Xenopus tropicalis: one gene and its partners. The protein of the gene in region 2 purifies or fractionates together with the protein of the main gene of each other region. This does not show direct contact. Links are inferred from orthologs where the notes say so. Each region holds a gene or a part of one and is shown on either strand. Other genes may lie near its edges.

Region 1 (4,201 bases), on a different chromosome or scaffold from region 2:
AAGACATAGCAAGAGCCATGGCCCCAGGCACATCACATAGGTCGTATGGGTCAAATTCATACGAACTGCATCAGCGTGCTGCTAAGCTCAAGAGAGCTCAGGAACTGCTGCAGTACCATGTGAGGTTTTCAGAGGTTAAGTGTCACTTGTTGTCAGGTTGGGGAAGAAATAGAAAAGGAGGTGAGCAAAACAGACCAAGAAGACAGGGTGGAGGACAGGGATATAAGGGGAAACAGGATGGGTTTAGTAGAGCATCAAGAAAGTGGAAGTGTGAAGTATAACTGTAAGGAAGGGAAAATCACTAATGAAAATAAAAAAGGTGAAATAGGAGAGGACAAAGATAATTAACAGGAAGAAAGACAACAGAATGGGAACAAACAGATTGAGACCAGAAAATGTTGACACAATTAAAGGCAATGTGGGATAACATGCAAAGAAAGAGAAACTAGATAGTGAATGTTAGGAAAGAGAGGAATAATGAGTGGAGAGCAGAAGTGGAAGAACAAGTGGGAAGAAGTAAAGGAGTAAAACAACATTTAAAGAATAGAAAACTGCATGAGAATGGTAGGGCATGTCAAAATATGTGTTGCATTAAATGTGAGATACTTCACAGGTCTGATACATGTCATACATGACAATATAAACCTTTCCTCCTCTGAGTCCCCTTTTCCCTTCTGTTATTGTTTCTTTCTAAAACCAAAAGTGGGCCTTATAAAATTGTCAGCATCAAAAAGGCTCTTCAGCAAGAACAGTTTGAAAACCTCTTATGGCCTTCAACAAGTCACTAAAACTGTACAGGTCATGGATTCTTTGCACTTTGTCCAATGAGTACATTAGAATAGGAAAAACACTGCAGCAGTATATTTAATATTTATGTGTTATTTATTCCCCCCACCTATTGCACTTAAAGGGCTGTCCCTTCATTGCTGCACACTTTATTATGGAACATATTTTATATAGCATGTAACCTCTAATCTTAAATACATTTGCTGAAAAGATAAAGGAACATAATCTGTACCTTTGTGTCATGTCGAATTGTAGTAACTGTTGTGATGATCTCTACTTTCTTCTTCTTCTCTTCCTCCTCATCCCTCTCTTCTTCTGCCTTTTTTTCGGGTGTTACTGTAGTTATCAAGTTGGTTTGAGAGATACCTTTAGCTGTGATGTAGGGGCCGGTACCCACCTCTGTGGCAGACACAGAATCCTTCATGTACAAGTCATGGTTTTCATTCACTGATGCTAAAAGCAAATATGATATTTGAAAACAAAAACTGAGTATGGAATGGTTTGATTAAAAGAAATCGCAAAAGGGGGCTAGAATAAAAATGCCAAATTTTGATATAGAAAGAAAATTAAACTGGAAATCTATAGCAGTGTTTATGAGTTGGCCATCATGGACATTACACACACATCTAGGCAATTGCACAATTGGATCTCCTGGTGATACACAATACACGTGAGCATTGCAAAGGAATATTGGGGCGCTTGGGCATAGCCAGAAGAGAGCAGTGCTACAGTCATGCAGTTGGTGCATTTTATATATGAAACCTTATTAGCAAACCAGCAACATTTCAAATATCTGCAGGATCAAATGATCCTATTTTTATGCACAGTTATTTCAGTTACATTTTGCAGAAGGCAGGCCATTCATGCGTAGAATCCAAATACTTCTATATAGTTATAGGGGCCTCGGGTTGAAAAGAGCATTGGGCCATAATGATAAAATAAGTATTTTAATATTTAGATGCTACTTTAATTCACAATGTGTCTCAACAGCAGCAAGCATAGTTACTGTAGAGAGATGGTGCTATCAGCACACAGGGCTCTATGTCTCGGCATAGGTGAGTATACAGTGTAGGAAAGCAATTACACAGAAAAGAACATTCTGTACACACAAGGGGCTATGCACAAATGCATTTCTGTTTACCGAAAGGAATGCACTTTCCAATTAATATCCATTTTTTTGTCCATGTTTACTTTTGTGCACTGTTAGTAGAAAGGTACTGAAAGAAGGTGCAGAACATTTCAATAAACCACAAATAATGACTTACACCACCGGGTATTACAAATGTGATGCAAGCATAGCTGACAAAACACAAGATTATTAGTCACTAATGGATTCCTTATAATACAGGTGTTAGGTTTATTTATTCTCCATGACCTGACAGACAGAAAGTTATGAAAGAGAAAAAAAAATGTAGTTATGGTGTTAATTACTGCAAAGGCTGCTGCTGAAAATCCAATGATGGCATCGCTGGAAGTAACAAAGCAGAAAGAGAGCACACAAGGGCATTTTGCACAGGCAAAATAAAAGTCTGGGTTGCTAAGCAACCACATCTTATGCCCGTTCTACCCAAATTAAAGCATGCCAACAATAACTAGCATCAAGTTTGAAAAGAAAGGTGTTACTTCTAGACTGTTTCTATCCCATTATAGTCCTATTCACTACCCACATTAGACTATTAACTATATATGTTTATATGTATCCCAGTGTTTTCACTGCAGTGCAACCAATATAGCCAATATATTACACTCACTCGTCAAAAACATATCTGCAGAATGGGATCCTTTTCATACTATGCTATTGGGCTCTGCCTCATCCACAACCCTCAATGCCCATCTTCCCTTAAGTCCTTATTTTCCTGGTCCTGACAATTACCCTCACTAGGAAATAAACCGAGACAGTTTCTAGCAGTTTGCTGCTTTGCTTTGTCCTGTAAAATAACTATATGGAAATGGTATTATCCTGACACAGCAACAGACCAGGTAGTGTTAGAGGAATACACAGAAAATGAATTAAATGCTAGAGAACACTGTCTATCTTTCATCCATGATTTACACTATTGCTGCACTGCACATTGGCTCTTGTATGTGCCAGTGAGCTGCTAGAGAATCCACAAGCAGAATGACTGTGAGGCTTTGGCATTGTTGTTTTTTATTGCTTATCTGTCTATTTAGAGCCCAACTACTTCCCACTTATGACTTTAGGTTGTCACTGCTGTCGCTGCAAACAGCCTAGAATTTAAGTGTTACAGATAAAAGATATTTAAATATTTACCTCCATCTAAACTTCTAGACATGGTATATCTCTTGCTAGAAGAGCGTTCAAAATATGGTGCGGGGCGGTCAATGAGTGCACTCGCTCTTCTTGTCTGTGCCTGAGTCCTCCCACTGTAGCGGAACTTGGAACCTAACGTGAGGAATTTCTTAGGAGGCGCCTCGGGCATCAGCAGTCTGTTAGGGAGAGATTTACTTACACATAACCAAAGTATATACTATATAGTACACTGTAAACACAAATTACTTATATTTTCTGCATAAATGCTGAGCCATTTGTGGATACATACCAGTTGTGGTTTTGGTACATATTTATAATAACTGGTTTGGAGCTATGTACTAGGCAGGGTGCAAACCACCTTGTTTTTCACACGTTGCACCCTTCCTCAGCACCATCAGTCTCTCTGGCTGCAGGTCCTTGTGCTGGTGCAACTTTTTAATTGGGCTTCATTATTTATTTTGTATAGTTTTTTTTATATTATTTGCCTTGTTCTTATGACTCTTTCCAGTTTTCAAAATCTATTGCTCAGTGAAGCTACAATTTTATTGTTATTGTTACTTTTAATTCCTTATCTTTCTATTCAGGTCCTCTCCTAAGGTAATTTGTTCCCTAACAACAGCAGATAACTGCTGAAATTCCAAACTGGAGAGTTGCTAAATAAAAAGTGAAATAATTACAAAAGCACAAATAATAATAAATGAAGACCAATTGCAAATTACTGGAAGTTAACGTAAAGGTGAACAACCCCTTTAAGCCTCCTGGACCAGATTTGCACACTATTCTGTGATTTAGGCCCCACTGTGCTCGGCAGCTTCCCCTCAGGTTGCTGCTTGTATTAATTTTCCTGCAGTTCCACAGAATCACAGGTGCTTGACATCAATTTTTTTCACCTTTAGGCTGATGCCACATGAGCATATCCTCGGCAAGCCGAAAAACACTTGCCGAGAATACGTAAAAACTTTTTTAGAGCACTGTGAATTTAATGAAACATTGAATAACATTTACAAAGAATGTGCACATGCTCATTTTCATTTAGAAGCATTAAACATTCCATGGGCCGACGGGTAAAACTGGTAAAAATAAAGTTATTGGTATGTTGTTAAAGCATACAGATACTGGGGCTGGGGTGGGGTTGGGTTGCTG
Region 2 (4,201 bases):
GCCCCTGGGGGGGGTTAGGGGACGCGGCTGGGGCACCTGCAGGGCCCCTGGGGCGGGAGCCCCGGTGGGCCCTGCACCCCCCAGTCCGACCCTGGCCACAGATGTGGGTAGGAGCGAGGGGATTGGCTGCCCATTACAAGGCATGAATATGTGCCAGGAAAGCACTTAGCAGTGATCACATTCCCTGGGACAGCAGTAACATTGATCTGCGCTGAATTACTGCCATTTTGTCCAGAGGAGCGTAATTGCCTCATCTCACGCCACGCGCCATATTCACAGTGCGGCCTCTGGGTATTTATCCTTCCTGGCATCCATGGTCTCACCCCATGCCAACGCTGCCTTCTCTTCTGATTGGCTCTTCTTATTCCAAGGTCACTGCCTGATATTAACGAGCCGGCTTTGCCTTTATCACTTATCTGCCTAATGAATATTTCCAGTTTCACAGTTTAACTGAATTTATAACTTTTAATATTTAAAGGCACCCAGAAATAAAAGTGACAAACACAGTAACTGTATAATATATAGGCACAGTGTAACCCCCATATCCTATACACACAGTAACTGTATAATATATAGGCACAGTGTAACCCCCATATCCTATACACACAGTAACTGTATAATATATAGGCACAGTGTAACCCCCATATCCTATACACACAGTAACTGTATAATATATAGGCACAGTGTAACCCCCATATCCTATACACACAGTAACTGTATAATATATAGGCACAGTGTAACCCCCATATCCTATACACACAGTAACTGTATAATATATAGGCACAGTGTAACCCCCATATCCTATACACACAGTAACTGTATAATATATAGGCACAGCGTAACCCCCATATCCTATACACACAGTAACTGTAATAATATATAGGCACAGCGTAACCCCCATATCCTATACACACAGTAACTGTATAATATATAGGCCACAGCGTAACCCCCATATCCTATACACACAGTAACTGTATAATATATAGGCACGGCGTAACCCCATATCCTATACACACAGTAACTGTATAATATATAGCACAGTGTAACCCCCATATCATATACACACAGTAAAACTGTATAATATATAGGCGGTAACCCCCATATCCTATACACACAGTAACTGTATAATATATAGCACAGTGTAACCCCCATATCCTATACACACAGTAACTGTATAATATATAGGCCGTAACCCCATATCCTATACACACAGTAAACTGTATATATATAGGCGGTAACCCCATACCCTATACCACAGACTGTATAATATATAGCACAGTGTAACCCCCATAGCCTATACACACAGTAACTGTATAATATATAGGCACAGTGTAACCCCCATATCCTATACACCACAGTAACTGTATAATATATAGGCACGGTGGTAACCCCCATATCCTATACACACAGTAACTGTATAATATATAGGCACAGTGTAACCCCCATATCCTATACACACAGTAACTGTATAATATATAGGCACAGTGTAACCCCCATATCCTATACACACAGTAACTGTATAATATATAGGCACAGTTAACCCCCATAATCCTATACACACAGTAACTGTATAATATATAGGCACGGCGTAACCCCCATATCCTATACACACAGTAACTGTATAATATATAGGCACAGCGTAACCCCCATATCCTATACACACAGTAACTGTATAATATATAGGCACGGTGTAACCCCCATATCCTATACACACAGTAACTGTATAATATATAGGCACGGTGTAACCCCCATATCCTATACACACAGTAACTGTATAATATATAGGCACGGTGTAACCCCCATTATCCTATACACACAGTAACTGTATAATATATAGGCACAGTGTAACCCCCATATCCTATACACACAGTAACTGTATAATATATAGGCACAGTGTAACCCCCATATCCTATACACACAGTAACTGTATAATATATAGGCACAGTGTAACCCCCATATCATATAGGGGGCAGGCAGTAACTGTATATAGGGTAGCTGCTGTATCTCTGGTCTGATTGCTGCTGTTGTGCAAAGCTGGGCGCTGCGGGGCTGCTGGAAGCAGGTAGAACCCCTGATTGCCTCCTTGTTCCTTATGGAACAGTTTCCCTTAAGGTGGCCATACACGGGCCGACTATAGCTGCCGATATCGGTCCCTTGGACAGATTCGGCAGCTAATCGGCCCGTGTATGGGGAGAGCAGAGCGGCCTGGCCGACCGAGATCTGGCCTGAAATTGGCCAGATCTCGATCGGCCAGGTTAGAAAATCTGGTCGGATCGGGGACCGCATCGGCTCGTTGACCTGGTCCCCGATCCGACTGCCCCATTGCCGCCCACATAATCCGATCGTTTGGCCCCAGGGCCAAACAATCGGATTATTTTTTTTTTAACCTAAATGCTCCCCGATATCACCCACCCGTAGGTGGGGATATCGGGGGAAGATCCGCTTGCTTGGCGACATCGCCAAGCGAGCGGATCTGCTCGTGTATGGCCACCTTTAGGCAGTGGTAGTACTTCAGTGGTGTAGTAGCTCCACCTACTGGTCATCACAAAAAATTGGTGTTACGTTTTTTTCATTTTATTAACATTTTATTATAATCATTTTATTATAATCATTATTATTGTTGTTTGTATTTATAGAGCCAAGATGTTCCTCATGTATAATACATGCTTATATACACTAAACATACAGATTACTTGCAAATATATACATTAGATAACAAATACAGGAGGTACATAAGACCCTGCCCAAAGAGTACAAATTAACTAGATATGTGGAACATCTCATAATAAAGTCCCTATCTCCCCCCTCCCATAGGCAGGCATGGCAACACCTGAGAACCCAGAGCAGCTGATTATTGCCCTAGAACCCGAGGGGGCCTCTATATACTGCAGGAAGCTCCGCCTCCACCAGATGATTGACTTGAGCAGCAAAGCGGCTATCAATGGAATCAGCCCGACAGATCCAGGTAAGCACAGATTGTTATGTAATGAGTAGTAATGTGCGGGATCTGGGCATTGTATGAAGGCTGGGGCCCTAGTCCATGTGGTTATTACTCCAAACAAAAAAAAAAGATAGTTTTTGGGGTGAGGTGGGGGGACATTAGCAGGAAAGTCTCAAGGACTTGAACTAGAAAAGTCAGACGACCACTGGATCATTTCTATAAATATACAAAATCATATATAAATCTCACAAAAAAGGAGTTTGTATTTTTAAAGAGAGACCTTATAGAAAAATTGAGAATCTCTGTGCCCCGAATATGCCCCAAAGCATCAGGGTCATTTAATATGCCCACCCATTCCCAGCATTCCTAGCAGATCACCCGAGGCTCAGTGCACATTTCCCAGAATCTGATGCCCATTCCTAGGGATCCAATGGAAATTCCCGAAGGTCTAAGGAACCTTTCACAGTATCCAGTGCAATTCCCCCAGAATTCACTCCAAAAATTCAAAACCCTTCATCTCAGATCCCCATTGGTCCATTTCTAATCTGATTCACATTCCTAGGGATCCAATAGAATTTCCCCAAGGTCCGAGGCACATTTTGGCAGTACCTAATGCATATCCCCAGAATTCAGTGCCAATTCGCTAGGATTTATAGCAGATCCCAGAATGTGATTCCCAAGCCCTGAGACACGGTTGGCAGCAGCCAATGCAAGTTTCCCAGGATTCCCTGTCTCTAAAGCCCTTAATTTAATAACAACATACAAATTCCCTAGGATTTAATGGAAACTTTTCCACATTTCAACAGCAATTCTCCGAGACTGAATGCCAATTTCCCAGCCGCCAGCCCCCTGAATCAGCCCCCGACACCTCCCATTTTCATTATTAAGATACAATTGGCGATGGCAAAAGCCGGCGCTTTTCAGTCCGAAAATGCATTTCATTGCATTATTTCTTTATTTCATACAAACTGAAGTTGCAGATCTCCAAGCCGCATCAGTTTATTTATGTATTTAACTTTTAATGGCTGGATCCTTGAACCTCCCTTAGTGATGTGTCTGAATGGGAAGGGGGACATTGTTGCCGTGGGGCTTGGCGGATCCGCAGCCTTGGGATGCATAAACCCTTTGTGCCATCAGTTTCTCAGCAGCGCCAGTGAATGGGATAAGTAGGCTGAGATAAACAGGGCTGCGCCGCAGGCACCCACATGATATTTTAATGCTTGGCTTAGAAATACACTTTATTGAGCCGCACAATGGGGA
Region 3 (4,201 bases), on a different chromosome or scaffold from region 2:
TTTTAGGAACATGTTTGTCAAAATGTTAAAAGTGAACTCTCTCTCTGTTTCCTCCTTGATAAATATTCCACTACAATTCACATACAAACAAATAAAAAACTATAAAATGGCCCTCTGGTGAACTGTGGGGAGCAATAATTTCAGCCTTTGATATATATAAACCCTATAGGATTATTTTGCCTCTAATAAGGATTACTTATATCTTGGTTGGGATCAAATACAAGCTGCTGATTTATTATCATGGTGAAAAAGGAAATCATCCTTAAAATGTTAGAATTTCATTAAAATAGAGTCTATAGGAGGTGGCCTTCCCGTAATTTGAGCATTCTGCTCACATGGCTCACTGAAACTTGTATGAGGACATACTTGTTGAAGTTCCATGACCTGTATAAAAGCACTCACCTTTTGCCCGTTGTGCCTTTGAATAGTCATTAAACTCCTCTGTGAATTATAATATCCTTATATTTTACAGAAGGGGGTAGATTATTTACTATATCAACAACCCTTAAATTCCATAAGTTGCATTGCATGACCCACTGACACGTGCGTATCATAACTAATAAAGTACTAGCTTCCATGAAATATGAGGATATTAGAAGTCACCTCGATTTCTATGACCTGTATAATAACCTTTATTTATTTGTGAAATTACTTGGTCACTTTGAATATCCTTACTTTTTTACAAAATGGGGTATTTGTACCATTGATTAACCATTATGAAAGAAGAGAAAGAAGTGGGTAATACCTTACCTTTTGTCTCAGGATTCCACAGTCTGTGAGTCTGCTTGTGTGTTCAACTCAGCACTGTCCTGAGAGACAATTTCTTCTACAGGTTTGCTGATGGACATACTTAATTCACTTTCAGTATGTGTAATCTGCACAGTCATTTGCTCTGTACACTCACTGTCTGCAGGTTTTAAAGATTCCTCATGTGTGTGTACAGGTGTGGTTTCTTTATGCTCTTCTTGCAAGGCACAGCCATCATGTAACCCAGTAGCACTGGCTACTGTGGTGGGTTCAGATTCAGGTGCTGCTGTTTCCTGCAAACCCTGTCTCTCTTCAGCCGTCACTACTACTTCTGTACCCTGAGCAGAAACAGGTACAATCTCTTCAACCTCTAAACTATGCTTGTGTTCTTCATGCTGAAATTCCTGAACTTCATCCCCAATGTGAACATCCTCAGTTATTTGTTCAATTTTTTCCACTGATGTTTCAGTAATCTGTACTGTGCTGATAGTGCTGATAGTAATGGTTTGAACAAGGTTGTCCTCACTAGCATTTTCTTCTGTGCATACCGAGACAGCTTCTTGAATGGAAACACCATTTTCTGCTATATTTTGCTCTAAAGTAGTGGTGGCAGCCTCTACAACCAAACAGCTTGCAGCTGCTTCAATTGCGGCATCAACAATAGCTGCTGCTTTCTGAGATACAGACTGTACCACTGTATGTAGAGCCCCAGACGTCTCACTAAGGTCATCTGCACCTTTTGCGGTTTCACAAGCTTCTGTGGTATCTGCTGAAATCTCAATAGGCACAACAGTTTCTGCTAAAATCTGCTCTTGTACAGCTGCAGTATTAACTGTCTCACATGCTTTGATAGCCTCAGAACTTTCAAACTCTGGGATATTTGTGATCACAGTATCCTCAGTCACAGTGGTTGATTGTTGTTCAACAGGCATTGAATAGATTGTTGGTTCTGGCACAGTCTCTTGTTCACACACTGGGACTTCCTCCTGTGGCACGTGAAGAGCAGTAGATTCAAGGCTCTCTGCCAACACAACAGAGTCTAGGGTTAATTCCTCTGATATGTTTACCAACATGTTTTGCATACTGTGCTCCTCTGCAACCGAAGGGATGGTTTCATTAACAGTCTGGGGGACTTGATATGCAAGATCTCTTCCATCAACCATTTCTTCAGGTGTCTTTTCCACAGTCATAACAACATTGTCCTCTTGCTGTTCTACAACATCATTCAGATCTACAGAACATGGAGCATCCATATCAGCACTAAAAGTCAATGCTTTATTATTTGCGTTAGTGTTTTCTTCATCTAGGATAATTACTTCCTTCTCAGTTGCATCTTTTTCAGGGGCAGCCTCTGAGTAATTTTCCACTCTCTGTTCCATATCTGAAGACTGCTCCTCAGTGTTAACAGAGGCACTTTCTATTACCTGTACTTCAACTTCAGCAGAGGCATTTTCTATTACCTGTACTTCAACTTCAGCAGGGGCACTTTCCTTAGTTACATTGGCAGTGACTTCTACTGCCTGTTCCTCTGTAGGAGTAGTGGCATTTTCTCCAGCCTGCTCATCAGCAACAGCAGTAACAATTCCTACAGCCTGCTCCTCAACTGGAGCAGCCATGCATACTGCAGCTGGTTCCTCAGTTAAACTGGTAACACTTTCTGCAGTCAGCGCCTTTGTACAAGAGATGGTACTTTGGTCAGTTTGCTCCTCAGAACCAGCGGTAACATCTTGTGGAACTTGTTCCTCAGTAGCAGGTGTCTCAGTGTCTGTAGCCAAGCCTTCAGCAGTACTCATGGCATTTTCTGCACCTAGTCCATTATCAACAACGGTAGCACTATCAGTGGCCTCCTCCTGAAATGCAGCAGAAGCAGTTTCTTCAGCTATTTCTTTAGTCACCAAGGGAATAGCTTCTGCAGACTGTTCCTCAACACTAAAGTTTTCTTCAACCAGCTCTTCAGTAGCAGCAGCAGGGATCATTTCTTCAATATGCTCCACAGCAACAGGTGTTACACTTTCTGCAGCTTGCTCTTTATCTACAGCAGTGGAACTTTCCTCAGCTATAGTAGAGGTACTTTTCTCATATGATTCCTTAGCCACACTGATTGCACATTTTGCAGTCTCCTCCTCAACAGCAAAAATAGCACTTTCTGCTGTGTCTTCTACAGTCGCAGGGGTGATACCTTCTGCAGTTTGTTCATCAGCAGAAAGGGTGACACTTTCTGTAGCCTCCTCCTCAGCTTCAGCAGAGACACTTTCTGCAGAGTGCTTTTCATCTACTGAAGCTGCAATCTGTCCGTCAGAATCAGAAATGGCAGTTCCATCTGCCTGTTCCAATTCAGCAACACAGACACTTTCAGTTTGTTCCTCAACAATTGTGCTGCCACTTTCTTCAGCCTGATCCTCAGCCAAACTGGGGGCACTTACTGCATCACACTCCTCAAATGCAAGAGGAAGACTTTCCCCAGATTCCTTTGCCAAAGTAGTAGCACTTTCTTCAGTTTTCTCCAAAGCAAGATTCACGGCACTTTCTGTAGCATGCTCCTCAGCGGCAACTTCTGCAAGCTGCTCATCAGTAACTAGGGTGGCACTCTCTGTAACCTGTACCTCTTTGGCAGTACTTGGACATTCACCAACCAACTTTTCAACAGAGGAAGTTTCTGCATGGTGCTCCAAAGATGCAGCAGAAGCCTTTTCTTCACTTAATTCCTCAACATTTATAGTATCACATTCTGCAACCTGCAGCTCATCCACAGTGGGGGCACATTCTTTAGTCTGCTCCTCGCCTGCAGTGCTGGCACTTTCTGCAACTTGTTCTAGACCTGCAGCAATGGCACTTTCTAAATCCTGCTCTTCAACATCAGTGTTTAGACTTTCTACTTCCTGTTCTTCAGGTACGACAGAAATACTTTCTGTAGCCTTCTTATCTTCATCATCAGTTGTGCTTGCTTTATCATGTCCCTCAGCTGGAGTGGTGACTTCCATGGTCTGCTCTATAGTCAGAGCGGGGGGACTCTCTGAAACCGGGGAATCACTAAAACCTGCCATACTGTGGGGGTATTCTGCATATTGTTCTTCCTTCACAGCATCCTGTTCAGCTACAGAAGCAATTTCTGCGGTAAGTGTTGTAGTAACATGTGTGGGACTTTCTGCAACATGTTCTTTCTCTGTATGTTCATCAAACATAACTGTTGAACATTCTGAAATTTGCTTTTCATCTTCACTTGAAGCATTAATGGCAGCCTTGGCAGCTGTGGCAATATTGTTAGCCTGCTCCACTGGCACCACAGGGTCACTTTCTGTTGCCAACTCCTCTTTCAAAACAGAAACACTTTCTATTGCCTGTGTTGCTACAAAAATTTGTGAACTTTCATCAGTCTGTGTTTCAGTCAAAACAAAAGTACTTTCATTTTCTTTCTTGTCAGCAAAAATCACGGCACTTTCTGTAACCTTTACAT

What was found. Proteins that work in one complex are often made in the same cells at the same time.
Region 1: the proteins of hspa12a (region 2) and epb41l3 purify together in Homo sapiens (affinity purification with mass spectrometry; 4 studies listed by BioGRID and IntAct, with this or other methods). This does not show direct contact. The link is inferred for Xenopus tropicalis from reciprocal best matches to the Homo sapiens genes HSPA12A and EPB41L3.
Region 3: the proteins of hspa12a (region 2) and akap12 purify together in Homo sapiens (affinity purification with mass spectrometry; 3 studies listed by BioGRID and IntAct, with this or other methods). This does not show direct contact. The link is inferred for Xenopus tropicalis from reciprocal best matches to the Homo sapiens genes HSPA12A and AKAP12.

The regions. Positions count from the first base shown.
Region 1 is NC_030682.2:106,388,044-106,392,244, reverse strand, and holds part of epb41l3 (band 4.1-like protein 3), read right to left. Parts: intron 3,235-4,201; coding exon 3,059-3,234; intron 1,240-3,058; coding exon 1,019-1,239; intron 1-1,018. UniProt on the Homo sapiens protein: Tumor suppressor that inhibits cell proliferation and promotes apoptosis. Modulates the activity of protein arginine N-methyltransferases, including PRMT3 and PRMT5.
Region 2 is NC_030683.2:5,385,325-5,389,525, forward strand, and holds part of hspa12a (heat shock 70 kDa protein 12A), read left to right. Parts: intron 1-2,814; coding exon 2,815-2,965; intron 2,966-4,201. UniProt on the Homo sapiens protein: Adapter protein for SORL1, but not SORT1. Delays SORL1 internalization and affects SORL1 subcellular localization.
Region 3 is NC_030681.2:44,981,756-44,985,956, reverse strand, and holds part of akap12 (A-kinase anchor protein 12), read right to left. Parts: coding exon 759-4,201; 3' UTR 751-758; intron 1-750. UniProt on the Homo sapiens protein: Anchoring protein that mediates the subcellular compartmentation of protein kinase A (PKA) and protein kinase C (PKC).